Lepisosteus oculatus: one gene and its partners. The protein of the gene in region 1 binds, or shares a complex with, the protein of each later gene. Links are inferred from orthologs where the notes say so. Each region holds a gene or a part of one and is shown in the gene's direction. Other genes may lie near its edges. The genes, in order: ogt.1, thap3, kansl3 and kansl2.

Region 1 (6,931 bases):
TGTGGTCCATCTACAACACAGACGTACAGCGCACGCAGATGCACTGTACGGGACCATGAAAAACAGGCTGTAGTAAGATACAGTGGATTGTATTAACAGAAGGGTAGGAATATTCCTTGTGGATAAACTGGCCAGGTGACCTCTGACCCCCAGAGAGAGAGAGAGAGAGAGAAACCAGGGCATGTCCCACAAAACAACACCAGTAGACTCTCGCCTGGACTACTGCCCAGCTGAGCCCAGAGCCTGTGGCATTGTACTGCGGGGAAAAGAGGGGGGCTCGTTCAGTCCACTGTGCCCCAAAAAAGCCCCAGGGGGGTGGAGAGAGAGAGAGAGAGACCACCATAGGTGACCCTGAGCTCAGGAACCACCCCTCAAAACTCTGAAAAATGGTGTTAAATTTGACAAAACCCTGGGAAGTAAAACTATACCTGCAAGTAAAAACAAGTATCTCCGGATCTATATATAGTCAGTCCTGCTGTTGCCTACCTGGAAAATTGTACCGGAGCATGCAGGCCCCGACCACCAGACTCGGAGACAGTTTTTACCCCCACACTGTCAAACTCCCAGCCTCTCGCCTAACATCTGAACCCTTACAGGGCCTTCTCTCTAGATCAAAACTCAAACGCACAACGAAATCTACCTCTACCTCACGTGTCAAGACGTTTACTCCCCAGAATTGTGTATCCTTTATTTCATTCTGTCGGCAACAGTTGTGCAAAATCGGACGTCAACGTTGCCCGTTGCCTCGGTCTCTTTTCTTGCACCTTTGTCTTGTGGTTTGCACCACTCACCGTCCGAGAGCCCGCTAAATAGCGTTTCGTCCTACCATATACCCGTGGAGGAGGATAACGACAATGAGCTCGAACTTTTGAAGAGGAGTCATTGTGGCTTAACTGGAACGTGTAAACCTGTGGCAGAAAGACCCTGCGGCTCCGGTCTGTCCGGTCCGGACCGGGCCAGGCTGCTGAAGTGCAGAGGGGCTCTCCGGGGAGCCAGCGCCCTCTGAAAGCGGCGGTGTTGACAGACATTCACAGAGGCCGAAGGCCAGGCTGGCCCTCCTCTCCTTCTCCCAATCCGTGGGGCTCTTCTCGCCTCCCGCGCCCCAGCCCCTGCGTGCGGGAGCTGGGAACAACCCGCAGACACAACACAAAGCCGGGGGCTGCCCTCCCCCTCGCAGGCCTGCCCTGCGGTTGCTCACGGGGAAAGGCCAGCAGGGGCTTCAGCAGCCGGGAGACGGGCGACGTCATCGCAGAGACCAAGCCTGACGGCACGCCGAGATCCCCGGCCCCCCCTTACCTGCTGAGCTCGCGCTTACCTGCTGTGGTCGCTAGTAAAACCCGGAACGGCTCCAACAGCCATGCAATGGGATTGCTGATGCTGTCTCTTGGTTCCACTCTATTCCGAATTGGGCCAGCAAGGACAAGGTCTGTGGGGTAGAGGGACTGGGAATATTTAGGGAGGATGAGGGGGGGGACAGAGGGCATGGAGAGAGGACAGGGCATTTCAGGGTACCACAGCAGGCCTAACCTCTCCCCAAATTAAAATACACTGTGCTCAGCTGACCGGGGGGGCATCCGGGTGGCTGGGGGTTAATGGTGACCGTGGCGACTCTCCTCTCGCCTGGGCCGCCATTCACGGTCGCCGGGGGCAACGGCCCGTCTCCCAGCGGGAGAGGAAGGAATGCGGGGGCAAGCTCATCACGCTGAGACCGGGGGGGGGGGGGGGGGGGTTCAGTCCGAACGCAGAACAGCAGGGGAACAGGAGCTGCACCGGAGGAGGATGACGAGAGAGGTGAGGGAGCAGGGACAGAGGAAGAAGACACAGAAAGAGAGGCTAATGAAGGAGAACGGGGAGGTGGGAGAGGGAGTGTGTTCTCTCTCCTGCTGGAGCTAGGGACCCCAACTCTTTTCTGGGAAAAATAAACACCGAGACGGTGTGGGGGGGAGGGGGATGCCCTAACTCTCAGACTTCTCGGCCCCGTGTTTATGAGGAGACATCTTTACTCAAAGAAGAGTGATCCTGAGGACTCCTATAAAAAAAAAAAGGAGGGTCGAGAGTAATGAAATGCATGAATCCAAACAGAACAGGCAAGACAGCCTGAGAAGCCCTCTCTTGGTTGTAAACATTTTGATATGAAATGGAGCAACAACAACAAAAAAAAAAAAGATTAAACTGTCATAATGTGAAGGTTTTTCACCAATTCGACTAGTGACCTCGTGTGGCGAACACGCGACACTACCGATTAGAGCTGCAGACGGATACTGTTCAGATTACAATTCCCACATCCGATGACCTAACCTGGAAGACCGTCGTGGTCTCAGGTTTTAATAATAATAATAGCTTACACTTATATAGCGCTTTTCTGGACACTCCACTCAAAGCGCTTTACAGGTAATGGGGACTCCCCTCCACCACCACCAATGTGCAGCATCCACCTGGATGATGCGACGGCAGCCATAGTGCGCCAGAACGCTCCCCACACATCAGCTATATATCAGTTTTCTGAGTGTCTTTAGAACGGCAACACTTGAGAAGCTAAATGTGTCCAGTTGACGAGCTGTTTTACGTTGTTAAAAGCAGAGTTTTAATGAAACAGAACTGGACACTGGTCCTCCGGGAACAGGATTGGGCAGACATGACCTGACCGTGTGTAGATCATTAACCATTAGGATGTTGGGAGGTAGAACTTCTGTGTTGGCGTAGATACTTACATTTTCCGGCACATCGCCTTTTCCCAAATTGTAACTGCTGTTAAGCTTTGAAATGAAGTCGGCAATAAAAATAAAAGGTATCCAACACATCACGAGTAGGGTGTGTAGACAGTCTCACCCGCCAGGGGGCGCGCCATAGGCACGCTTTGCGGCTCAGAGACGCAAGTGCAGATTGAAAGAGGAACCTGGAAGCTGGTTTTGTGATTTTAAGCCCCGGAGCAAGAGAAGACCATCCTCATTAAATAAAGACACTTATTTGATCAATAATGCATTGAGAATCAAAGCCTTAACATTTAAACGGTAGATTTCACTAGACGGGCTTGTCTGGAACACCACAACAGCGTCTACTGCGGCTCTGTCCCGGTGCGGCGGGCTGTGAACGTGTTAAAAATGAAATCGTCCGAAGATGAACTCGAACACTACTTGTCCTAACAAGACACAAACGAGATAGTTGTTGCTGGGTGTACATTAGGACACGATTCTGTTGGAATTCCCATATCCCAGTATGTCACCAGTTCTGCAAAGGAACAGGTAAAGGTTTACTCCATGCTGAAAAGAGAAGAAAGAAAACAACGTTTCGGCTGTGAGGAATTATTTGCTACGAACGCTAAAAGACCCTTTGGTTGGTCCTCGCTGTATTTGTGAAGTTTATGTACAGAACTAAATACAGGATTCAGTCGAAAAAAATAGACATACACTGGCATATTTTTCGACATCTCGAAAGCGTTTCCCTGGGCCTTTTTATTATGAATTGACATTGGTGCCAAAAAAAATACTTGAAAATTTTTTGCGTGATTTTCTGGAAGAAGACATCATTTGCGATCTCCGCCCAGTATGTATATTTATTTAGACTAAGAACAGTTCCATAAAACCCAATTAGCATATCCTGTTCAGTACGAGATACGGCTTTGTGGCTCCCCACGTGCCGGCTGGCCCACCCATTGCCGCATTGCTGCCGCGCATCGGTACACAGCCCTGCCTAGTTCCTAGACACAGCGGTCTCTGGTATTGACACATCCGCGAAGGGGGAATTTTTCCATCCGCTTCAAACCGAGAGAAACTTCTCGTTCCCCTCCCACAAACATCTGTTATTACGTAGCGTTAGACATTTAAGGCTCGACGCTGCCTCCCGTTGTCCCGCTGTTTCGTTTTTCTGTGGGTCCTCCGTAGGGGGTCTATTTGTACCAGTTGAAGTAGTCCCGGTCGCAGCCGCCATTTCGGGATTTAGAACAGCCGCTTTGTTGTCGACGCGGTTGTTGGTCTATGCAAAGAAGTTTACAAATATAAAAGAGCACCTTTTAAAAATTGCGATCAGTCAGATTTAAAAAAATCGAACGCTCGATATTTATTTTTTTTAAATCGGGAAGAGATATCAAACATTTGACTGAGTCAACGTGTGTTATTTTAGGTTTGTAGTTGACGAGCTCACCGGCATTACTGATCGATACGCACGGCGAATTCGCGGCACGGGTCGTCAATTTTAAATTTTTTTTTTTTTGAGAAGAAACTAAAATCCAAAGCATTTTTAACAGCGATTTTTGTTCCGATTTCAAAAGACTTGTGAAGATGGCGACTTCAGTTGGAAACGTGGCTGACAGCACAGGTAAATACGGCTTCTGTCGTTTGCTTGCTCAATTAAATATTAACTTGAGATTGAATGAACAGCAAAGTTTAGTTTGGTCTTCTCCTAAACTAGCCTCATACGACTGGAGAGTAGGTAAAAGACGAGATGGAATAATTTTTTGGACATGAAGCGGTTGCTTTGTGTTCGAATCCCTTTTAAATTCGACTTGTATGGGGATTAAATTTACAAACTAGTAATATACCACTCCCGAAACCGGGGGGGTATTGATACGAGAATGGATGTTCATGAAACCAGAACAGGGGCTGCATTGTGTAATTGGACATTTCTTCATTGCGAGATGCACAAAACAGTGAAAATGATTCCGACTCGCACAGCCCTCTGACATAGGTCGAAGCAGAGTTTAGGGGGGGAAAATGAATGCAGTTATGATAAAGTCCACTTGAAACTGTGGTATTTGTATTTCTAAAAGGCATTGCAGTACAGCGGCTTTTAACCTTACTAAACAGTATGGCCAGAACAATCTGTAAAAAAAACAAACCCGGAGAGGCCTGCTTGTTTAACTAGCTGGCTAAACCTCGCTTGTGTGTGCGAGTACCTGCAAACGGAGCGCTGACGTCATCTCTGCCGGACAGCTCGCTGGACTGCGGCCTCTGCGCTGTTGCAGAACCACACGATACGAAGAAGCGTGGAGACACGCCAGGGCCAGTTTGTCGTTAATCTGCTTGTGGGCACCGTGCACCTCGCGTCCGGCAGCCCAGTTGAGCCGGCCCTTTTCACCCACGAGTTCGCTTAACATAACGTTTTGGCGGGTTTAGACAAACCAGGGACCGTCTAGTAACTCACCGAGCTTGCATAGCGCAGAAGCGTGTGTTTCGAGCGTCTTGTTTTCTTTTTACTGAAAGGCGCTTAAAGTAGCGAGACGTCCCTCCCAATCGTCCTTTGTCTCGGGTATTATACGCACGTTAATTCGTCCAGATCGGATCGTCCCTGAAGTGCTGGTGTGGCTCATTTTCTCTAGATCTCTTTAAATCTCCAGCACTTAATTGGGTCTAAATAGTTGATTTAGGTAATTAAGAGGTGGAACAAAACAGCCAGATTTCGTTTTTTACAGGTTTAGGTCACATCACGCTCAGAATAGGCGCTATGCACTGAGCTCTGCAGCATAATATGATTAATTTGAACTCTTGAATTGTTTTTACTTCATAATCATGGTGGAAGTTGCCTTCTTGTGCAGGTAACCCACGATCTCCTACCTTTGAGCAGATTTAAATTGTGAGGTTTAAGGATTCGTTTAAGTTATGCGCTGAGTTGGAAACCAGCAGCAGTGTGATTCTGGGGGTCCTGTACTGTGTAACATTAGTGGAGGTGTACGTCTTTTGTACAGCTACTGAAGTAATATTTAATAGCTAACGAGTACATTAAATCACACTACTATGTTGGAAAGATGAAGAATTCTTTTATATTCATGTAGACCGCACAAGTTAGGTGGTTTCTCATTCAGTTTTCAGAATTTACTTAAATGACCTGTTCATGTTCATATCCCTCTGGTACCTGTTGGTGTGCATCTATTGTCCCAGATAATGAATTAATTACTTAATTACCCGTGTTGAGTTCAGTGCAGCAGCTGTTGTAGTTAATTACAAAGTATGCACTCTGTATGACTGAGTATAACCATGTATTCCTGAGCTGTTTAGGTTCTGCAAAGGTGTGGACTGCAGTCCATCTGGCTTGTACTGAATAGAGCAAACAAGGAATCACTCACCATCTGTGTAAACTCCATATACCACAGTAGCAAAGGGCTTCTTCTGTGTGCTTACCCTCTGTTGTCAATATCATTTGTTCACTGTATTGTCATCATTTCATTATCGGTATACATAATATATTTCCATTCTCATTTTTGGGTCATTTTATCCTCAACCTTATTTTGTTAATATGTGCAAATCTCTGATGTAATGTATTAAAGTTGATCCAGGGTGTAAGATGACAAGGTGGTATAGTGCTAACAGCATTTCAGGTAATTTGACAAAACCTGTGAAATTGGCAACCGTTAAACATTTTCTGGGGACTGTGTTTTGCTTCTCATATTAAAATTTACTTCTGATTGAAGTGCTGTGTACAATTTGTGAAGAAGAATGAGGTTTAATGGAAACCAAATTTGAGTTTCAGCTCCATTAGTACTTTCTAAAGGCAACAACATAAAATTGTGCCATAAAACGGCCTTGATGTAAAAAAAAAAAAAAAAAGTTGGGTAGTTTCATGGATTGTTCCAACTGGGCAAAATGTGTTTGAGCATGATATAGCTGTGCAGGTAAGACATTGGATAACATTAAAGTTGTCCAGATCACTGCTGTTCTATGTTTCAGAACATTTCATCCTCATTTTAAGTTTTAACACCCTGTTTTACTGAATGTTCTACATTTAACCTTTTGCTTTTTTATTTAGATTCTTTGTTTTCATGTTTGATTTTTTTTTTCTCCATTTGTTCTAACGTGTTGTTTTCCCCTCCTCCCCCCCCCGGGTTGTGTTGGTGACTCTGCTCCAGAACCGACAAAACGTATGCTTTCCTTCCAAGGGTTGGCAGAGCTGGCGCACCGGGAGTACCAGTCCGGTGACTTTGAGGCGGCCGAGCGCCACT
Region 2 (7,372 bases), on another chromosome or scaffold:
CTTCAGTGGACTGCGCTGTTCCTGCCCATTCTACATCAGTGGTCAAGAGTGGCGTTATTTTCTGGACACAATATGAAAAACAATATTTATTGTTTTTCAGACAAAATGGTTTTTTTTTTTAGGGCAGAGGAGGCTTATGTTGACATTGGAAGGGACAGAAGATAAAAGAGCATCCCTGTAATACACCCCCAGGTGTTTTTTTTTATTAATAAGCAATACGAGAAGCAGATCCGTGCTCTGTTCTTGGGGGCTCTCTCTGACAGTAGCAGGTTGTGTGGAAAGGGGTGACCTTACTGTTATTGGAGAGAGAGAGGGGTGGGGGTTGGGGGGGTGGGGTTGCAGACTTTGCACTTCTGAGCATGTTGCACAGAAACATTATTTCATGTCTCATTGCCCTTCATTACCCCTAGATCATGCCTGCAGGCAGTGGAGTTCAAGTGTTTGCAGCCCCTGTGCACCCACTCAAACCCTTATGACACTTTTTGTTCTAAATTTCAGATTTTTGAGGCATGTCTGGCTTATATGAGAAAGCAAGTTCGCGTTTATCATCGCACTGATCGGAGCGGTGCTAATCCGCAGAAAGCTCTGGGATCTGGCAGACACATGCTTCATATCCCAGCACTAAGGTTAATGCTATATGGACCAATGCTTTGCTCACAAGGTACTGAGTTTAGGAAATGGAGCTCCGTAGGTGAAAAATTAAGGCTTATCAAAAATGATCATTTAAATGCTTCACTGGGGGTTAAATAACAAGAATTTCTCCCGTCTTCTAAGATATCAAGGGAAGTAAGATGGAAATGCCATAGTTCTCCACAGCCTGTTAAAGGGTCGGCTCACTCCACTCGGGCAGCCTAGCCTTTGACGTTGTACGACCGGAAACGGGGCTGTCTGTGAGCCGTCATGCCCGAGCTGGGGATTTTCTTCTGCTGAGCTCAGAAACCCTCCAGGGCTTCTTGAGGTCCTGTTCTGGGGAGGGGGTGGTGGAGGAGCCCACAGTCTAAACCCCTCACCTTTTCTGCTTTCCTGAACCGCCAGTGACAACAGGCCTGCCACTCCTGGGAGAGCTCATGTGACCTCCTTTCTGTTCCCCGGACTTCGTGAAGAAGAACCGAATTATCCCCCTTGTTCACTAGTGGTTGTGATGTCTCCTTCCTTGCGCTATAAGTTCCAGTTTTACAACTTACAGTGCCCACACAATGGAAGTGCTACATGGGTGTTCACGCAGTACTTGGACATTTCTAAGAGCTTACAGTGACATGCCTTTGCTTTTCTTGCCTGGTTTCTTTTCAGATTTGGTCTGCTTTGGCCTATGTCTTCTGTGTTGTCCCTGTTGGACAACACAGCTGTGAGGTACCATTTTGCCTGACACAAGTGAGAGCTGCAGGATTAAAACATTTTTATTTACACCACAGCCTGACCATTGGTGCAGTTGATAGGCTGAGGTATTTTTATAAAGGGTCTCTTTAAGTGATTATTTAAATAATTCTTGAAATTGGAGCCCTTGTTATCAAGCCTTTCTTTTTCCCCCAAAATGGAAAATAACAATCCAGAGAACTTGACTAGATTTGCCTTTTTGTCTTTTTTAATCATTTCATACTTTCTGTTAATCCATTACGAAAACGATGCACAAAGTTCCCCCTGCATTCATTCCACTCTGCCTCCCTCTCAGTCATTGATCTAGCAGCTGAACAACAGCTGGGATTGAGCTACAAAACAGGCCGCATTCAGACGAGAACTTCACCTGGGTTGCCTGAGCAGATCCACACAGGGACTTTCCATGGGCAGGATTTCTGTGTTAACATAAATCCAGTACCATGTTCTGAAGAGTTTTGTAAGTGTGCATACCAAGTTTTATTTTGCAGAATAACCAGAGACTCTCCCCTTTGGAAACTACTCTCTCAACGAAACAACAAAAAAATCCTGTTGTCTCTCAAATTGTGCACACATAATTGGAGCTTTTGTGTGTGTCCCCAAGTCTTTCAGAAAACATGTTTTAAGGTTGATTATATTTTGTGTAAAACGAGTTCGATTTTTTTCCCCCCTGTTACCTAAATCCAGTTTCTGTCTGAACGTTCCTGCACTAAAACTAAAACGTCTGCTGAATATGAACAGAGTTTTGTGTCTCTTAGCCTCTATCAAGGCATTGGCCCAGCTGGGCCGACCCAGTTACAACCCGGGCCGGTGCTTTCAGTCTTCAGTAAGCAGGCCTGGGCCTGGGTCACATAGCTAGTGTGAAAACGGCAGCAGTAGACACTGGTCAACGCCAGCTTGTGTAAATATGTGTATTCTACTGTAAAAACAAAAAGGAAATCTAATTTACCAAAGGAAAACGAGTTTGTTCCCTCTTTATGTTTTTTTAAAAACATTTAATTTAATTTGGAACTGGTTATTTGAAAGTGTCAGAGACCGCAGGAATGTAAGCGGTCGGCTTTTGCGAGGGAACTGAACAGTGGCACAGAGGAGAAGGCTGTTTCTATGAAACTCTGTAAATTGTAAAATATGTTGTAAATAAAGATCTAACTATTGATTATTTTAAATCGGCATCTGAAGCTCTGGTATTACTTTTTGGACTTCTTTTTCTTTTGAACGTTGTGAAATCCGGAATAAAAAAAGATGTTACTTTTTTTAAACAAATAAATTTGGTATTCTCAGTTGTTCATTGCACCTCCATGATTTGGGCTATGTGATTGTTGATCACCTGCAGCATTACCACGTAAGGAGAGAGGGCTGTGGGTCTTCTGCCACGCACACTGTGGGGTCTCTTGCCCTTCTGTGCTCCTGTAGCAGATTAATACCCGTGACAAGGGTGGTGCCTCTCTGTGTTGTGCCAACAAAATCGGCAGCACCTCGAGGCGGGTGGTTCCCAAATCTGTTCCTGCAAGTTTCTAGGCTTCTCAAACTTCAAAACAACCTTGCACCTGGCTGAAGGGTTAAAGTGATCCCGTTAAGATTTAATGTGACCAGTTAATCCTTTCCCAGCTGCCTGGAGCTGCTGATTTTTTAAAGAGACACAGACAACCTGCTGGAGTGGTGGTTCCCATTTGTGGTCTTGGGGTACCCCTGTGTCTGCTGGGCTCTTAACTGGCGTCTGTAACAGACTGACTCGTTAGTTCAGGCCAGGTGATCAGTTGAAAAATCGACACAGGCCGACTCATTGTTGGAGTTTCCTGATGCAGTTTTTTTCCCTACTGCTTAAGTCCAGATGGTTATATTTCAGCCAGCACACCTGACTGGGGTCAGCCCTGAAACGTACTGATTAGCACAAGGTCCATATACCAGCTACTAATGCCACTCGGCTTTTCAAGAGCTGGAAATCCATTTTAAAAGGGTCTCAAAGAGAAAATTGAAATAAGAGAGATTTGAAGTCCTGTGATTAAGGACTTGACAAGGTTAGTAAGGACCAAGACGGGGAACGCATTTCCGATCGCGAAACTTGGCAGCCTTTGTCAGTGCATTTCCTCAACACCGAAACTGTGCTCAAAGCAGACCTTGACTCTGCACCAATAACAGCTGATGCCGAGATGTATTTGAATGAAGAGATTCAGCTGTACAGTTCAGATACCTAATGTAATAAACACTAGTATTGGAGCAGGCAGGCAAGAGCTGGAAACCAGCGGCACCTTAGCTTTCCAGCAAGGCTGACTGGTCATGCCTCTTCGGGACTGTTCTGTAACATTTACCCCGCGGGTCTCAGACTCAGCAGAATCCTCTGGGCTCTGTTTCACTGGGGCACTCTGTTACAGAGCGGGTCTAATCATTCACCGAAACGCAGAACTGCGATATCACGGCCATGATTTGACAGGTTTTAAAAGGTACTATCTTTACTGGCGTAAATGTTTTGAAGGTTTGACAGTAAGACACCTCGAGAAACCTTAATTGTGGAAACAGCTAATCAATTACATTTATTGTTCAGTTTGACCAACTATGTTGGAACATAAACCCGAAGATACCAAGACCGTCTAGGAATCGAAACTGCTTTACAATAAGGTTCCCTCATTTTTCATTCTTTCTTTTTGTAAGATCCCAGTCGGTTTTTGATCACTGTCACTTAGAGCTTTGTCACAGCATAGAGGCAAAACATTGCTGGAACAGAGATCTCTTGCCTTTATCCTGGAGAGCTCTTTGGTCTCCTGGGTTTTCAACCGAGCTCTTAATGACAGAAAACCACATTTTCTACCCAATCAGACAAGAACATGATTAAAATACCGTAGGTGTGGTTCCCCATTATCACTTGTAACAGAAACGCAGTGCAATCTTCGGTTATATACAGACCTCAGCTGAGAACGTACTGTATTGTGTCTTGGTTTTCTATTACTGCCCCTGCTGTGACTACAGATGAATACAACAGTGTGAGAGTGAATTACACACAAGTTCAGTGGTCCCACTCAACAGCCACCAACTCCGCCACTCTTATAATGACAGAGAGGTTATGGGCTACGCTGTGAGACCCAGACCCATCTGCCGGCTGAGATCTTATTCGGGGAACCTTGCGGAAAACACCGAAGCCCGTCGGCCATCTTGGTTTCGGGATGTTTTCCGACCTGGCAGGCTAGTCATCTGTTCGTGTGAGAGCGGAGCAATGCCCCACTCCCGGAGTCACACTTTCAACGACGCGCTACCCGCTGTGAGGAAGAGCTGACGAGGCCGAGAAAAAAAAAATGTGGATGTTTTAAGAAATTCAGCTCACCGACGAGGACGGTGAAACCTACCGCGTAAGCAGACGCGCCTTCCGAAACGCAGTTTGGGAGATGGGATTGAAAACTGGAGTGTCCGCGCACTTCTGTTTTACACTTCTGCGAGAAACAAAAACACACTCATAACCGAGGACACCCCGCCGAAGGGTTGACTTGTTGTAATTTCCTGTCTCTTTTTTTCCCAGCCTCCGGCTTTTCGCTCTGACTGAGGGGCGACGGCTCAGCTCGGGTGCTGCCCCCAGTTGGAATGCTGGCCGCCATCTTTGTTTGGGGCAGAGAGAGCACTGCGCGTAAAGACATGCCGAAGAGTTGCTCTGCTTACAACTGTACCAACAGGTACAGCAGCAAGAACCCGGATCTCACCTTCCACAGGTACAGCTGTTTTCCTGATTGTATTCACAGTAATCCACAGCACTGCCGCACTCACACTTCTGATAGCGAGAGCAATCAAGAATCTGCTTCAAGCTGATTTTTTTCCACCCTCAGCTTCTGTCCTCGCTGTCTCCCAGTTCCTCCGAGCCAGGACAGCAGGAGTGTCTGTTAATTATTAAATTAAGTCCTCGGTTTGTTCAGCGCGGGCTAACCTCTTTACTGCGCTGTGTGTGAAGTTGTTCGGACGTCCAGTGTTGAATAAGATACTTTTTTTGTTTTTACCCATTGCATATCTTTATCTGGGAAAGATACATTAATTCAGTGATCTCACGGTATGGGTTTGTGTTGAGTATATAGGAGAGATGTAGGAGTTTTCGAAGTGGTGTGTAGGGAAGTATTATGTGTAAGAAGTGCACAAAATGGAACAGGTTCACATATGGTTGCGTGGCCTTGTGTCCGTCTGGGCTGTTATTATTTTACTGCATATTATTTATGATTGTCATCGTTATTAATATTGACAAGAGGGCGACACAGTGCTGTAGTGGTTAGCAAGGCTACATCACAGTGCTGGGGGCCCTGGGTTCAATTTCAGACCCCCGGCTGCTGTCCGTGTGGAGTTTGCATGGCCTTCTGGTGTTCGCATGGGCTTCCTCGGGGTGCTCCAGTTTTTCCCACACACTGGTAGGGTTAGTTGGCTTCTGGGAAGATAGCCCTGGTGAGACCCTGTGTGTTGGTGCCTGTGTGTGCCCTATGTTGGACTGGCGCCCTGTCAAGGGTGAACCCTGCCTTGTATAAGGGGTTAGAAGACAGATGGATGGATGATTTCCAATGCCTCACCCTGGCGCTCCCTCCCTGGCAGGTTTCCCTTCAGTAAACCCCACGTGCTGAAGGAGTGGCTGGACAACATCGCCCGAGACGACTTCCAGCCCAAGAGGCACATGGTCATCTGCTCGCAGCACTTCACGCCCGACTGCTTCAGTAGCTTCAGCAACCGCAAGAACCTCCTGTGGAACGCTGTGCCCACCCTCTTCTCCTTCCCGCCCACCGGCTCCAAGGTTATAATGTTATAATGTTTCTTTATTAGCCCTATACAATTTCTTGCATTAGGAACTCGTCTTTTCGCAAACCCCAGCTTGCTCTCCATGAGACACACAGACAGGGAGAGAAGCTGGGGGTCAGAGCGCAGGGTCAGCCATTTATACGGCGCCCCTGGAGCAGCTGGGGTGAAGGGCCTTGCTCAGGGGCCCAACGGAGTAGGATTCCTCTGCCGGCCTCGGGATTCGAACCGGCAACCTTCCAGTCACAGGCGCAGATCCTGAGCCACAGAGCCACCGCTCCGCCCAGGTGGGCGACCCCCCCACAGTTACCCCCAATCCTGAACAGTCTGCGCCAGGCCACAGACGGGCAGGGCGTAGCGTCTCACTCCGGCCTGGCGCACGCATGCGCACACACACACAGCTCGGGTCATTTCTTCCATCATGTACTTCAGTGCGTTAACGTTTACCTAGTGTGACAGATCTGTATTATTCATGCTCCCCTGATTTATGAATTTTGATACCTAATGTTGTTTGGATTCTATTAAATTTGTCAGAATTCGCATTATCAGGGTAGCAGAAGGACAGGTCAGCTATAATCTCCTGCTCGTTCTATGCTTCCTGGATCTTTAAAAGCCTGGGTTAGCTGGTAGCATGGCAGTATTTGTTCTGTGAACTGCATCTCTCCAGTTCCTGGTAATTGTTGCAGATCACTCTTATTTATATGTGTTGTGCACGAGCTGTGGCCTTGCTAAGAGGTTTTGCACTTTAGAATTAAAGTAGGGACTAGAAAGTTAAATCTACTGGACTGGGACAGGCGTCTGGTTTGCATGATGAAAGGTTTTGCCACTTGTTTTGCGGATCTGTAGCTTTGTCACTTGTCTGTGTTTCTACCCCTGCGCTATACACTGGTGTTACCCACTCAGCCCATGGCAGGTCAGAGTGGGGGAAACTCAAAAAGCGTCGTACAATAGTGCACGTAATAGGTACACCCCAGAATAAAAATCAGATTGGAAAAGAAGAAGCAAAATCAAGATTAAAACTATAATGTACCCATTAAAAGCTTCAGATGAAAAGATCTATAAAGTGAGTCTAATGGGTTTTGGGAAATTAACAACCCAGGCGATGTTTCCCACTGCCAGCATTAGAGGCATAGCTGTGACAGACAAGCCAGGATGAGGGAGAGAATAATGAATTGCCTTCAGGCTTGGACAAAGGTGTGAAGACCATGTAAAGAGTGTTTCTGGTCTTTATTAAAGAAATTATTTTGTT
Region 3 (7,580 bases), on another chromosome or scaffold:
ATTAGTAAAGGTAAAGCGAAGAAAGCTTTTTAGTTAAAGCAAACAATAGAACTGGCTTTAACATTTACCGTCTTTCTAATTTTATACATTTTATAGTACACGTTCTGCAGATGCATGGCTGTTTGAAGTTTTGGTCCATTGTCCTGAGTAGTAAAACTGGTTTGAAAATATGACACTAATAATAAAATGATAAAATACCCATGTTTTGAAAATATTAGGCAAAGCCAAAATGTCACCTGAACTAGATTTCCATGGCAGGAACTGGAAGGGAAATGTATTTTTAATCATTATATAAAATTTAGTTTTATATTTAGGGTGAGTGCTTGTAATTTCTTGATTGCACTTTGTATATGTGTGTATGCTGTTGTGCAGCTATAGGCCAGAGACCATATGTCAAATAGCACTTCGGAGCAATATGGATGGCCACTTTGACAAATCACCAAGTTTTCAGGTCTGCAGTGGCCCAACATTTAAAAATGCCTATAAAACCTACGGGACTGCAGTATGTGAGCAGACTTGTGCAGTACTGAAATGCAAGAGATCTCTCTTCAGACCTTTGAGACATACCAAGCAGGCCAGGTGAAAACTGGTGTGGATACCTTAATATTGAGGTTTTTAATATTCTGTGTCGATATTACGAGATGGAAGAATGTTAATGAGGGTTTTGTTTTTGTGATATATACAGATATATATGTATTTTTAACTTATTTCTACTAATGATTTGGTAGGAGGCCTCTTGTCAAGTGACAGAAAAAAGCCATGCAGGGTGATACGTATTCATTTGAGGAAAAATGTGTCCTCAGTATTCAGATTCCTCCTTGGTATGAGATATTTCTGCCTTGCTTGTCATATTTGCTCAACTAAATGTTTCATGTTTATGATTCAGTTATTTTTAAACTGGATGCCACTGATTCAGAACAAACTGAAATATAGAAAATATTTTTCAAGGATTAAAGCCTTTTTATTGTTTCAAAGAATTTTTTCATCTATTTGTGTTACAGGACTGAGTCAAATAACCCAGGTGCATTTTCTCATCGAGTTTTGTAAGCTTTCTCTCCCCTGTTTAGAAACATTTGGCTCCGATTTAACTCCACTGCAGTGTTGTCATTTACTTTGATGCTGCCTAAGCACCTGTGTTTTACCAAAGTCACGCAGCATATTGCAATTTCACACTTCCTTGGTTTGTCAAGTGGAAGATGTTAAAATGTCAAACTGCATTGCGTTCTAATTCTGCTCTTTATTTTATAGTGTATAGGTGGGCAACAGTATAAAAAAAAGATCACAATGATTTTTTGTTTTTATTTTATCAGTAAACAAATTGAGAACTTTTACAAAGAGCCATGCTTATGATAATACCTGCAAGTCAAGACAACATCAATGGAACAGAAAGTGTTCTATGTCATTAGCTTGGGCTTTGATAGCTGATGCTTTGGGGGGCTTTGTCAGATGAAGTCTGTACACTATTATAGACCTTCTATGAGGTATTGTGCTGGCAATGTTGTGCTTAAATCTTAATTCAGGTTGTGTATTCCCACCAGAATACAATTTGTCTGTGTTGTTGCATCTTTAGCAACAACTTACTGTTCAGTGAAGTTTAAAATACCTTGTATGTGCTCATCTCTTTCTCAATCTCCTGCACTTTATCATTCCTGTAACCAACCATGGTAACACTCTCTAGACGAGCTCTCTTTCCCAGAGTACCCTTGGCAAATTTGTATCTTGCTTTATATATTTTTTTTATTTCTAGTAATTTAGCATGGTGATGAATGCTTTCAATAACTTGAAAACCAGGATTGTCAGTTGTTTCGTCTTTATTATTGTATGAAAATTAATTTCTAAAACAATACTGTAATGAAATTGAAATGTATGCCTTGTAATGGGTGCTATGAATGTTTTGGTTCTCACTTGTGTACTTTTGGTTCTTCATCATGGGATGTATTTTCCACTAATTGGTTTCTGTCTATTGTTGTCTCAATTCTGTTGATAAATGATACCATGTACTGAGCTAAAACAAACTTTGTTAAACTGTCTTTTTATTTGGCATACATTTAACATTACTTACGATTAAATTTTTCATTCATTTTAAATGACAATTTCCTAGTTCTTGCTTGCATCTACAGTATATCATACCCCGTCTTTAAACTTGTTTCTCACCTGATAAACCTCTGATGATTTCAGCTCCTTCCTTTGTGCTCTGTAGTTGTTAATGAAAAATGTTTCACATTCATTGGCTGAATTCACGAATTGATATTTATTCCATTAATGCAGTGCTTTACAGAATCACTCCCAGCTTACATTTAAAGAGCATAAACTAGCGCTTTCAGACTGGGTTACAAATCATCAAAATAATTAGTGATCCTAATTTAAAAATGTTAAAAAAAAACTTGAGAAAGTGCCAAAGGAGGAGGCAGTTTTGAGGAGTCAAGGGGAGGTACTTCATGCAGTGTGAGTTGTGGGTGGATGCAGCATGTTCCCAAGCCATGTTGAAGCAGCTGATTCACTGGGTTGCTCCAAAACTTGTCCAGCTCCTTCTACCTCCTGATAGTTATTAAAAAACACCTCAGCCCTCACTGTAAAGCATACAAATTCATGCTTACAGAAAACCAGTGGAATTTAATATTTGCATATAGCTATAAGATGTATTTCATTTAATCTGATTTTAAATGGGAATTTGATTATTTTTCCTCAATGTGTACATAAAAAGCCAACACTATTGCCTTGCTCAGTTTGTACACAGAGATACAGGGAATATTACAGGTACTACAAATACTTTCTCACAAACACTTGCTAACAGTTTGATGCCTACTGTCCTTCATTTTCAAACCCTACAGTACCATGCTGTGATCCAGTGTGCACTGAGTGCCCGCAGAGGAAGGAGCTCCTCTGGCCACGGTATGGTCGGAGCATGAGGAGGAACACTGGCTATCGCCTCCTCAACTAGATTTAAGCAAGCACTGTGCTGGAGAAAGATCCCATAGTTGAGCCTACAGGAGAATGGAGAGTGGTCATCACCACCTCGCAGGCCCAAGCTTGAAGAGCAGGTGGATGAGGGCAAGACGTCTGTGTCTCTACGGCCCATGTCTGAGCTACAGGACAGGATCATGAGAGGTCACTGCTGCCCTGGCCGGAGCCTCAAGAGTGTGAGGCAGCCGCTGTGCCAAAAGAAAGGGGGCACTCGTGTAGACACCTGCTGGCTCAGGAGGGGGAGGTAGTTTGAGAGCGGTAGATGATGCCACATTTCACACAGCCGCCAGAAGGAGAACGCCAGGGGGGGGTGCACCCAGTTCGCACTGCCTGCTGCCCCCACGTCTCTGCATCTGTCACGGCTTCGGACTGGCAAAACCTGCTCTTCCGTCGGCTTCCCCGGTGAGGAGCAGGACGTCGGGCAGGGTGGCAGGAGGAGGGAAGAGGGATCTTGTCTCAGCTACATCTCCCAAGTGCCCCTGTGGGGAGAGCAGTCTTCCTCCCTCACCTGGCAGGTCCGGAGATGCAGGCTGGGTTCGGCCACAATATAAACCAATAGAGGAAGCCTGCCTTCAGGGAGCAGGGAGCAGGTCCTGGGCTGTACAAACCGCTTAAGGGAAAAATGGGCGCCAGAGAGAAACAACCGCAGGACTGAAAGAGTTTTAACAGCATTTTGGGAATGTGATTTGTTTAAAGCTGGTAAGCAGCTTAGTTGTCCACTGAGTTATTGAGGAATTGAAGGCATTTTCTGGTTATCCGTAATGCTCAGTGCATAAAGTAAAAAATGGCGAACGACGTCTATTCTACTTATTTTTTTGTTTTGCATGACACTCACGTTCGATTTCTGCACTACCGCCGGTATTGATTTATCCCTTTATTTTCACTTCCACTTATATTAAGGCAGGGATATAAATCGGCTATAAATCCAGCCTAGTGGGGCCCTCTAGTGGTCAGGCAGTAGAAATGCCTGTGCCATGCTGGACGGTGATGCGCAGATCGGACAATTCTCAAACGTCCAGCAGAATCCCGTTGTGGAAAGATAGTTTTTGCTGTTAAAGTGCTGTGGAAAAATATAGAACGCTTAGAAATACACTAAGTATACCAACACAACTTGCCTTAAAGGTAAAAGGTTTAGAAGAAATTAAAAATAAATGTATAAATGTTACATTTTCTCGAATGCGATAAAGGTAATTGTCTTAATTTTCTCATTATAATAATATTGCTTTTCACAAGAGAGTAATCTGGTATATGACTGTCCACAATTCCAGTACATACAGTTTTCAGCACATAAGACAGATACCATGATGACAATATAATTTAACATACTATGTCGTGCAAGTCGCGTTGTTTGTGAATATATGTCTAGAATCATGTTTTACCTTGGTATTTTGTAAAATGTGACTTTTCTTCTAAAGTTTACATCGAAAGCTTTGGAATAACTTGCTACCTTAGTGTTTATTAAAATGTAAGTTTCATTTCTTTGCTATCGTTCCCTGCAAGAGGAACGGAGGGTAGGCGGGTCTTGTAAAAACACGGGAATCCATTTCGTATATTCCAAGTCTCCCGGCAGCAGGGTCGCATCCTGACTCCGGATCGCCTGAGAAAATCTGTGCCGTATTTTCAAGCAGGCCCTCCAGTGTAGTGGCGCGGTTGAAATACGAGGAGAAGAAAGGCCCTTAACAAAAACAGAAAGCAGTCATTAAAAGCAACGGAATGCGAATAAACACATTTCAAAAACGCATTTAAACAGTGTACAAACGAGTTTACACATCTGTTCTGGACGCTGGGGTCACGTTTTGGGATTACACTTCTTTTACGGTTTCTTGACACAATGACGTGAGCTCATCTTCTGGGATGCCGCCAGAAAGTAAGTGTTTTTATAGTATAACGATAAACTCTCCTACGCATTGTTTTCACCAGCTTTGCCCTCACAAGGACGTCAATAACCATGCTTTGTGATATCTGGACAGTTCTTTTATAGAAATGAATCTTTTCAGTACCTAGGCCGGCAGTCCTCGGGTTTTCTTAAAAAGAGCACAGGACCTGAGCGTACCCTGCCTCGGCTTGAACAACGTCTCGGAGCCGGGGTCTTTTTTTATTTGCCTGTCGAGTCTATTTTCTTGCCTGTTACAGTAACAACAACAAAAACAGCAACACGCCCGGTGGCTGATTTACTAGCCTTGACAGTGTCCTTCTTCGTAGTTTAGGGAACGTTCAGGTGTTAAAATATAAACTGTAAATGTAAGTTGTATATTGTATTGTTGCCTTTGTATCCAGTAGTGTGAAGGAAAGTTTAACCCTCACTGTATTAAATATACAGTCTTTGTCATTTAATGCAGCACTGCCCGACCTTTTACAAATGCCCCTACCCCCAAAAAAGTCTACTTAATGACCGAGTTTAAATTGGAGATTCCAATCACAATTTAATTTTCACTTTCAGAACATGTGCTTTTCTATTGTACCGACATCAAGGACCCAGCAATTTGACTTACAATTTTTGACTTACAATAGTAAATAAATCGTGATTGAAAACATCATCGTGCGTTAGCATTTTAATGGTGCAGTAAAATAAATCCAGGCAAATCTGGGGATGGATATTCCCATCAAATCAATTCCTTTCGTCAGAGATTCATTATGCCCATTTGCTCTTACCATAACTGTTGCTGGCGCAATATTCATGGTCAGTAAAGATTAAACTCTCAGAAGTGTCCCAACAGGTCAACCGTGGACTCACCATCGAGATTTCAAATCAATTATTTTGGTCCACTCGTTATTAAGAGGGCGTCATTGTTAAGGGCCAGGGGGAAATTTGGCCAGGACACCACGGTTAACACCCCTACTCTCTTCAAGAAACGCCCTGGGATTTTTTACTATCCTTGCAGAGTCGGGACCTCAGATTTATGTCTCATCCGGAGGACGGTGCCCTTTTTAACAGAATAGTGGCCCCCTCACTATTCTGGGGCATTAGGACCCACACAGACCGCAGGGTGAGCGCCCCCTGCTGGCCCCACTAACACCTCTTCCAGCAGCAGCCTCAGCTTTCCCAGGAGTCTCCCATCCAGGTACTGACCAGGCTCCCACCTGCTGAGCTTCAGTGGCCTGCCACCAGTGGTGAGTTGCGGGGAGATGTAGCTCTTTGGAGAGCAGGTCAGGTCTGCGCAAGGTAGAGGTTGCAGGTGGGCAGCTGAGGCCGGCGAGGGCAGCGTGTGACCGTGTTGTGCCCCGTGTCCCTAGCCCAGCCTTGTGTCCGGAGTGCCCCCTCCCGCTGAGAGCGTGCGCCAGCTGCCCGAGAACAATGTACCGCGGCGGGGAGCGGGACTTCCAGACCTCCGCGCGGCGGATGGGCACCTCCTTGCTCTTCCAGCTGTCTGTCCACGAGCGGGAGCTGGACCTGGTCTTCCTCGACCACAGCTACGCTAAGCCCTGGAGTGCCCACCCGGACGCCAGCAGTGCCCGCCCTACCCGCATGCTTTTTGTCACGCCTCGGCGCCAGCAGGACACCACCGTGTGAGTAGACGCTGCACCGCAGTGGAAACCCCCCCTGCAGTATTACAGCTTCTCCTGGCGGTATACAAAGTAGACAGCCTTCATTTAAATGACATGTATAATCACTGTTGTAAGACCAGCTTTAAGACCAGCTTTTAGACTGCCCTGTCTCCTGTGCAATTGGTTTGTATGTTAATTGTGTTTCACAGTGTGGCAATTACAGGACATGAAATATGTACCCCATGTTGTGTGCAGACTGGCAAGATTCAGGCTTTATTAGTTGCATTGAAACAATCCAGCATGCTCACAAGTTGAAGTTATTCAGATCTTGATTTTGAGTGCGTCTGTACTCTTTTCACACTCCTGTGATTTCTTTGGTTGTGATTTGCTAGAACGGGGGTGGATTTGCATTGCCCTACTGTTCTAAAATTACATTATTTTCCCAATTAAAATAACTTGTTAGCATGTCACAGCGCCAGTGTTCCTGCATACGTACTTGCTTATGTGAGTTTTTTCAGTTTAAGTTGCAGCACCAAGCTGATGTGAGTGATAACTTTACATCAGCAGAATTTCCTAGAAAAACTTTTAATTACACTCCTTCTGCTGCTACAGTTGACGAAAAGTGGTGAGCTCAGCTAATTTGGAACAATTGGTTGCAAGGTGTTACAAAGCGTGTCTTTGAGTTTTGTGCCACATTGCCATCAAGTCACGCCAGGGGTTGGGGGAGCGTTATTAGAGGAAGCATGAGCAGCGCAGGACGTGCGTTATGAATGTGGTTGCAGAGAGACGGACATGCCCATCGATGTGGAGACGGTGACGCCCACGCCGATGCCCCTGTATGACAACCAGAAGGCGCGGAGTGTGATGAACGAGTGCGAGCGCCACGTGCTCTTCGCCAGGACCGACGCTGATGCCCCTCCGCCACCGGACGACTGGGAGGAGCACCTCAACAAGTAAGAGCCTTCAAGCTCCTCGTGCAGCAAGCTGAAGGGTGGAGGACAGTGAGCACCCGGGCTCTGCTTCACGTGCAGGCCTAAACTAATCGCAGTTTCCGACACCTGCCGAATGTAAATCAAAGTCGTACTGGGATCGACAAGAAAGAGCTGGGAAGTTCTCCCTTGGCAAGAGGA
Region 4 (7,236 bases), on another chromosome or scaffold:
CTCGATGTTCTTAGACCATTCCAGTCTATCGTCGATGTGCACTCCCAGGTCCTTGTACGAGTCCACCATCTCCACGCCACTCCCATGGATGTAGACAAGAGTAGGTTTGACCTTTTTCCTCCTGAAATCAACCACCAGTTCCTTTGTCTTTGTTACATTCAGTTCCAAGTAGTTCACCCCACACCACTCCACAAAGCTGCTGACCAGTCCTCTGTACTCCTCCTCCTGCTCACCCTTGATACATCCCACAATTGCAGAGTCATCTGAGAACTTCTGCAGGTGGCATGACTTTGAGTTGCACTTAAAGTCCAAAGTATAGAGGGTGAAGAGGAATGGAGAAAGAACTGTCCCTTGAGGTGCCCCTGTGTTACTCACTACCTGTTCAGACACACAGTTCTGAAGTCTCACAGACTGTGGTCTGCCTGTCAGGTAGTCAGTGATCCACGAGGTCGAGGAGGCTTGCATCTCCTCCAGCTTCCTCCTTAGAAGTAAGGGCTGGATGGTATTGAAGGCACTGGAGAAGTCGAAAAACATGATTCTTACAGTGTTGCCAGCCCTGTCCAGGTGTGAGTAGGCCCTTTGCAGCATGTAGATGATCGCTTCCTCCACACCAACATTGGGCTGGTAGGCAAACTGTAGGGTGTCCAGTGATGAGCTGACCAGGGGTCTCCAGTGGGATAAAACCAGCCTCTCCAGTGTCTTCATGATGTGAGAAGTCAGTGCAACTGGTCTGTAGTCGTTGAGGACAGAGGGGCGCCCTTTCTTTGGTACCGGGACCAGGCATGATGTCTTCCAGAGCGTGAGTTAGTATAAAATGCTATTTCTTATTTTACGCAAGTTTAAAGCCACAGTATTATCATTAGTCCAATAATCATGTGTATTGGCGATATAAAGAACAAAAACTAGCCTGTTCCTATATGTTGATTGTCAAGATTAGTGGGGAGTTTGGTTTGAATACCTACCTCTATTCTTTTCGAGAAACAATTAGGCGTTTTAAAGAAGTCAGAAGCGCTGTTTCATGCGTCAGCTGAAGGAGAGGGCTTTTTTACAGCACAGCGTCCCGTCACTAAACTGGGGCACTGGAATCCACACAGACCGCAGGGTGAGCGCCCCCTACTGGCCCCTATTTTCTTTTACAATTTCAAGTCTGCAAATAATGCATTCTTTCACGATTCTTTTACAAACGTCCGACGCTGACTGCATGATTCATTTAAAACACAGAGGCTTGATCCCCGCCACTCCTTACTCTGTGGTTTTCCTCACTCTCTTCTAAACAACTAGCATTATGGCCAAAACTTGACAACTAGACTTCTAACTCGCACCAAGTCTTGGCAGCATATCACTCCTACACATCAGCCTCTGCTTTCCCATAAAGTTGCATATTTAACATAAGGTCTTGCTAGTTAGAAGAGGAGAAAAGAGACGAAAAGAAACACAACGTTTCAGCTGTGGAGCCTTCTCTGGGTGTCACTTTTCAGCACGGAATAAACCTTTACTGCTTCCTGGTGTCTCTCCTGTTGGGGCAGAGGCGGCTTGCCGGCATGCCCTTTGTGCCAGGGGTGAGGGCCACTGGAGCACGCCCTCGACTGTTGCCCGAAAGCCCTTGGAGAAGGCTGCTATCGGTGGCAGCGCGACCGGGGGCTGAAGCCCTTGGCGGACGCTATTAGCGGGGATATCAACGACAGCAAACATCACCAGGCCACCGAATCCGTCAGAGCCGGTCAGCAGCCGCGTCCGCTGTGCAAAGTATCGGCGGGTCTCCTTGGCAACGGCAAGACAGGTGGGCCCCTGACCGCACTCGGGCTGGACGTTGTATTGCTGTGTGAAGCATCTCGGCAGCCGGCCGTGCCAGAGCGGACAGGTCCCCGCTGGAGGCTGGCGGAAGGAGGGAGTCAGACATGAAGACCTGGTAGGTCTGCGCTGTGGGAGGGGGTGAGCCCGTCGGGGGGGGGCTGCAGAGGACTTGCAGGCCAGTCCCTCTGTGTCTTTTGGACGTAACAGGGGTGAGCAAGAGGAAAGCCATCCAAACCGCCAGAGAGGCGGTTGGAAATAGTTGAAAAAAGGCCTTCGAAACAGATGAAACCCACCACCCATACATTACTGTAGATCCCGTCCCCACCACTTCATTTCAGTGCTGTTTTCACTTCTCTCTGCCCCGTTGTCCTCAATATAATACATGAATCCTTGGGCACTGGTGTTGTACCAGTGGTTCTCAAAACTGCTGCTATCACCCCTGTGCCACAAAATCTAAATCTAAACAATTTTCGCCCCATCTCCAATTTTCCCTTTCTTGCACAAATTCTAGACTGTGCTGTCACATTTTCAATTACATAACCACCTCATTGTTAATAACCTTTTCAGACCCCTCCTATCTGGCTTCCGACAACTTCACACACAGAAGCTGCCCTGGTCAAAGTCACTAACGATCTTCTAATGGCTTCTGATTCTGGCTCTCTTTCTATCCTTATTCTTCTTGACCTCACTGCTGCTTTCAACACTGTTGACCATGACATCTTACTTTCTCGTCTTGACCTGTGTTTGGAGTTTCTGACACTGCTCTTAAATGCTTCAAGTCTTACCTCACTGATCGCTGTCACTTTGTCTCTCTTGGCAGATTTAGGTCTGAAATTGGACTCGTTTAGTCTGGTGTTCCTCAGGGCTCAATACTGGGCCCCTTACTTTTCAGCATTTACATATTTCTGCTTGGTCAGTTTTTAAGATCATTGCCTCAACTATCATTTCTATGCTGACGATACTCAGATCTACGTCCATACCAAACCTCACACTGATGTGGCTGTTTCTGTTCTCTCTAATTGCATCTCTGACCTAAAAACATGGATGGTTCAAAATTTTCTTTTTTTAATCTGTGACAAAGACTGAAGTCATGCTCATTGGCACCCCCCATCAACTTTGTAAAGCCAATGCTGTAACCCTATCTGTGGGTCATACAGTACTTGAGATTCAGTCTAAATTGAAAAACTTTGGGGTGATATTTGATTCAGGTTTGACATTCGACCCACATGTGCAGCATATTGTCAAAACATCTTTCTTTCACCTCAGAAATATCGCTAGACTATGTCTTAAAGCTGATCAACACATTTGTCTTCTCCCTGATCGACTACTGTAATGCTCTACTCGCTGGGGTTTCTAAATCCACATTGAACAAACTCCAGTAAATCCTGACCAGGTTTACTGCAAGTGATCACATTACTCCTATCCTGGAGTCTTTGCACTGGCTTCCTGTCAGGTTTCGTGTCGAATTCAGAATCCCTATGCTCACCTTTAAAGCTCTGCATGGTTTGGCACCTCAATACCTGTCTGAGCTACTGTCGTCCTACTCCCCACCTCACAACCTTCGCTCTTGTCATTCTTGCCTTCTATCTGTCCCCCAAACCAGTCTACAATCTAGGGGTGACAGGGCCGTCTCCTGCTGCACCCCAGAGCTCTGGAATTCCATCCCCAAGGATATCAGAGAGTCACCTTCCCTAAACTCTTTCAAATCCAGACTCCAAACATTCTACTTTAGAATCGGGTTCTGTTCTTTAATAATAATCCCCATCTCTGATCTGGGGTCATCACTCTGCTCTCCTCCCCACTGATAGCTGGTGTGTGGAGAAAATACTGGTTCACTCTGACTGCTGTCACATCATCCAGGTGGGGGCTGCACACTGCTGGTGGTGGAGGGGAGTCCCCATTACCTGCAAAGCTCTTTGAGTGGAGTGTCCAGAAAAGCGCTATATAAGTGTAAGCAATTATTATTATTATTATTATTATAAGTGCAAAAAATGATTCATCATAATAATAATTAGAGGAGTGACCCGTGGGTAACAAAGCCACCTGGACGCAAGCCAGGGCTTGAACAACCTTGGCTGGGTCGCCTGGGCGAGGGTGTCTGATGTTGAAAGACCCCTGGTAGGAATACTGATGATGTGTCCAGGTGCATCAGAGGATGTATTCTTAAATCATTACAACGCTGCAGTCTGTACAAGCACTGCCTTCGCCAGAATCCGAGCTCTTCGGTAGGCTGACCCAAATTGATAAGCGTTAATTTTGACCAATCCCCGGCCGAGCTGTATGTCGATTGGCATGTTGACAAACCAATGACGTGTTTCCAAGGTACTTGTGTCTGGCCAATCCTGGCTCGGTGGGGGGGGTGGCAGCCGGCCGACCGACAGAGGGAGCCGACCGGAGCGGTTAAAGCTCTTCGAGTGGCGGGCGAGGTCGAGGTAAGATGTCTGGTAAACGTGGTGTTGCGACGATGAGCCATACTAGTAATTTTTTTTTTGTTGTTGTTCTGGGTGACTGTGTTGATTATGAAGCGGGTGGGATTATCTTTACTAACAGAAAAGAAAGAGAAGTGTAGCGGGGGTTGGGAGGGGAGATGTTTCGTAGATGTGTTAAGATGGCTGACTCGCGGATTGGAACGAGACAAGGGGAAATAATGTTCGCGTTCAAAACAAGAGGCGCCTTTCAGGCGGGTGTGCAGGCTCCTTAGTGAAATCAGAGTTTGCTTTGCTTCGAGCTAGTTGTATGGTACAAGTGGCTTTGCTTTGTGCCTTTAGACCCATGCGTTATTAAGAAGAGCTGCGGCTGAAACGTGTCTAGGCGCTGTAAATGTTTTTATAACATGTCGGTGCATTTTGAAAAGATCGCAAACAAAGATCAAGGCGTAAGATATCACAGAAGTCTCTCAGCGGGTGCAAAGATCCCCCCTCCACTCAGTAGGTTTCTTAAATTGTCGCGCCTGGCTTCCTCCGTGCGCGCTTCTCTGAAACGGGCGAGCACGCCTGGTCAGTCGAAGGGATGGGGCACGACTTGCGCCCACGATACAACAGCTTTTAACTTCTGGTGCATAGATGACGATTTCGGCATACGCAATCAGATGCTGTAGTGTTGTCGACGTGTTTTAAAGGTAGCTAGGAAAACATTGTATTTTTTTATCAGTTAGGGAGAAATGCACGTGTTCTTTGGCAGCCATTCATTAAATACTCGTATCCATCTTTTAGAGACTTATTCTCTCTCTTTCTCGGCCGGTATCAGTTGCAGTCGAGAGATCGCCTTGTCTTGAAAGGCACCTGGTGTGTTCAGTGGCCCTGACCAGCTGCCCCCCCACACTCTGATATTGAACATGTTCTTAACGAAGCACGAGGGCGGGGGGGTTGCCATAGGAGGTCATGTACACGTGAAGCGACTTGTCTGCAGCAGTATCAGTACTGAAGAAGACGGTCTTGGATAGGACCCTGTTGAAAATGGGGGGAAAAAAAGTTTTGAAGAATTTAAAATTGGTGTAGAGAAGCTCTGGAAGGCTGAGTGTTGAAGTTTGCAAGTCATCCCCCCCCTGCCCCCCTGTGTGACTCAGTCCTGCTCTAGCACTCATCCAGGAGGACATGGTTTGCACAGATATTTGCCAAAAAGCAGATTGGAGTGGCTATATGGTAATAACTCTTCACACTTATACAGTGCTTTCCTAGACACTCCAGTCAAAGATCGTTACAGGTCGTGGAGACTCCCCTCACCCACCTGGATGATGCAACGTCAGCCAGAGTGCGCCAGTACACTCGCCACACACCAGTTATCAGTTTGGAGGAGAAAAGACAGATGAAGCCGGTTCATAATTGCAGCTCTGTAACTGTGTGATGCTGATTACTGTGTTCAGGCACTGGCTGGGAGTGTTGAGTAATTAGTTTTGTGACTGTAGGACACTGACCACTGTGCTCAGAGCTTGCTGGTAGCCATGAGTTTGTAATTCCTTACGCTTATTTTTTTTTCTGGACACTGCACTCAAAGCGCTTTGCAGGTAATGGGGAATCCCACTCCCACCACCAATGTGCAGCCCCTCCTGGATGATGTGACAGCAGCCAGAGGGCACCAGTACTCTCCCCACACACCAGCTCTCAGTGGGGAGGAGAGCAGAGTAATGAAGCCAGTTCATAGATGGGGTTATTGGGAGGTGCTGAGCAGGGGCTGTGAGCTCCAGCTGTATTTATCCCTGTGTTCTCTCCCCCAGGCCTGGGCATGAACCGAATCCGCATCCACGTGCTGCCGTCCAGCCGGGGGCGTGTGACCCCCCAGGCCCGGGCGCAGGAGTCCCATTCCTGCTCCTTCTCCCCCCGGCCGTGCTCCCAGCCGCGCCTGGAGGGCCTGGAGTACTGCCTCAAGCACGTGCTGGAGGACAAGAGCGCCCCCTACAGGCAGTGCAGCTACGTCTCCAGCAAGAACGGCAGGCGGTGCCCCAGCGCAGCCCCCAAACCTGAAAAGAAGGACGGGTGAGTCCCCCTCCGTCTCCTGGATAGGAGCCACGCCCTGCTGCCCTTTCCTGGGTTCGGGGGGGTGCGCTTGGCAATTCACACCCTCACCCTCAAGCTAAGGGCAAGTGTGATGCGTCCCTCATCGTCGGATACGCATGTGTCGCTTCGACTCGCAGAGGGTGCAGAAGAACGAGAGTTTGGTGATGCCTCTTTCTTTGAGGTTGTCCTGCTATCAGGTCCCCTCATAGTCGTCTCTCTTCGAGACTTAAAGGTTTGGATTCTGTAGCTCATCAAAATCATCTTTTTTCACAAACCAATCCTCTGGGCTGCTAGGAATTATTTGTGGTGTCAACGTACTTGAAATAACAGATACAAACATATGAGCAGTTTCAAGAAAAAAATAATTATAAATAACACATAATGTATGCAAAATAAAACCTGATGCTACATGGCTGTGAAGATAGAATCCACACATTTACTAATAAATAATTTTATAACAGGTGAGCCAAGACACAGAATGGCTTCATCCCTGTCGGTGTAGGACATTTCCTTAAGCCCTGGAATGTATCTGACCCTGCAGTGTTCTAAATGAGGACTTGCAAATGATTTGTACAACTTTAATGTATAAAGGGATGCTATTAATTGTGCTTAAAACTGTTTTTTAATGTGTTTTCCTTTTTGCTTCTTCCTCACATTGTGTAGAAGATTGATGCATCAACAGACACACCCAAGCCATTTTCACAAGTAGACTCTTCAAATTCAGGGTTTCCAATTTTTATTTATAGTTTATTTTGCTGCCTTTGTAGTATTCTTCACTTGTCTCCATCAGCTGATGTCAAAGTGTTCGCTCTTGATTTCTGAATCTTTAGCAGTTTCCTTTGTAGCTTCTGCAGGCTTTGCTAGTCCTCCTATTTGGTATCATCTGCAAACTAGACTGGTTTACTAACTACACCATAATGTAATATAAGTTAGTTGCACAGGTCGTAAT

What was found.
Region 2: ogt.1 (region 1) and thap3 share a complex: the UniProt entries of both Homo sapiens proteins name them as parts of the THAP1/THAP3-HCFC1-OGT complex. The link is inferred for Lepisosteus oculatus from reciprocal best matches to the Homo sapiens genes OGT and THAP3.
Region 3: ogt.1 (region 1) and kansl3 share a complex: the UniProt entries of both Homo sapiens proteins name them as parts of the NSL complex. The link is inferred for Lepisosteus oculatus from reciprocal best matches to the Homo sapiens genes OGT and KANSL3.
Region 4: ogt.1 (region 1) and kansl2 share a complex: the UniProt entries of both Homo sapiens proteins name them as parts of the NSL complex. The link is inferred for Lepisosteus oculatus from reciprocal best matches to the Homo sapiens genes OGT and KANSL2.

What each region holds. Positions count from the first base shown.
Region 1 is NC_090703.1:46,135,371-46,142,301, reverse strand, and holds the start of ogt.1 (UDP-N-acetylglucosamine--peptide N-acetylglucosaminyltransferase 110 kDa subunit), read left to right. Parts: upstream 1-3,911; 5' UTR 3,912-4,277; coding exon 4,278-4,314; intron 4,315-4,891; exon of another isoform or gene 4,892-4,966; intron 4,967-5,139; exon of another isoform or gene 5,140-5,227; intron 5,228-6,838; coding exon 6,839-6,931. UniProt on the Homo sapiens protein: Catalyzes the transfer of a single N-acetylglucosamine from UDP-GlcNAc to a serine or threonine residue in cytoplasmic and nuclear proteins resulting in their modification with a beta-linked N-acetylglucosamine (O-GlcNAc).
Region 2 is NC_090720.1:9,154,373-9,161,744, forward strand, and holds the start of thap3 (THAP domain-containing protein 3), read left to right. Parts: upstream 1-4,359; 5' UTR 4,360-4,712; exon of another isoform or gene 4,713-4,879; 5' UTR 4,880-4,941; coding exon 4,942-5,066; intron 5,067-5,925; coding exon 5,926-6,121; intron 6,122-7,372. UniProt on the Homo sapiens protein: Component of a THAP1/THAP3-HCFC1-OGT complex that is required for the regulation of the transcriptional activity of RRM1.
Region 3 is NC_090697.1:73,312,097-73,319,676, forward strand, and holds the start of kansl3 (KAT8 regulatory NSL complex subunit 3), read left to right. Parts: upstream 1-4,563; 5' UTR 4,564-4,831; intron 4,832-6,198; 5' UTR 6,199-6,259; coding exon 6,260-6,471; intron 6,472-7,232; coding exon 7,233-7,403; intron 7,404-7,580. UniProt on the Homo sapiens protein: Non-catalytic component of the NSL histone acetyltransferase complex, a multiprotein complex that mediates histone H4 acetylation at 'Lys-5'- and 'Lys-8' (H4K5ac and H4K8ac) at transcription start sites and promotes transcription initiation.
Region 4 is NC_090696.1:14,506,858-14,514,093, reverse strand, and holds the start of kansl2 (KAT8 regulatory NSL complex subunit 2), read left to right. Parts: upstream 1-4,221; 5' UTR 4,222-4,231; coding exon 4,232-4,271; intron 4,272-6,007; coding exon 6,008-6,266; intron 6,267-7,236. UniProt on the Homo sapiens protein: Non-catalytic component of the NSL histone acetyltransferase complex, a multiprotein complex that mediates histone H4 acetylation at 'Lys-5'- and 'Lys-8' (H4K5ac and H4K8ac) at transcription start sites and promotes transcription initiation.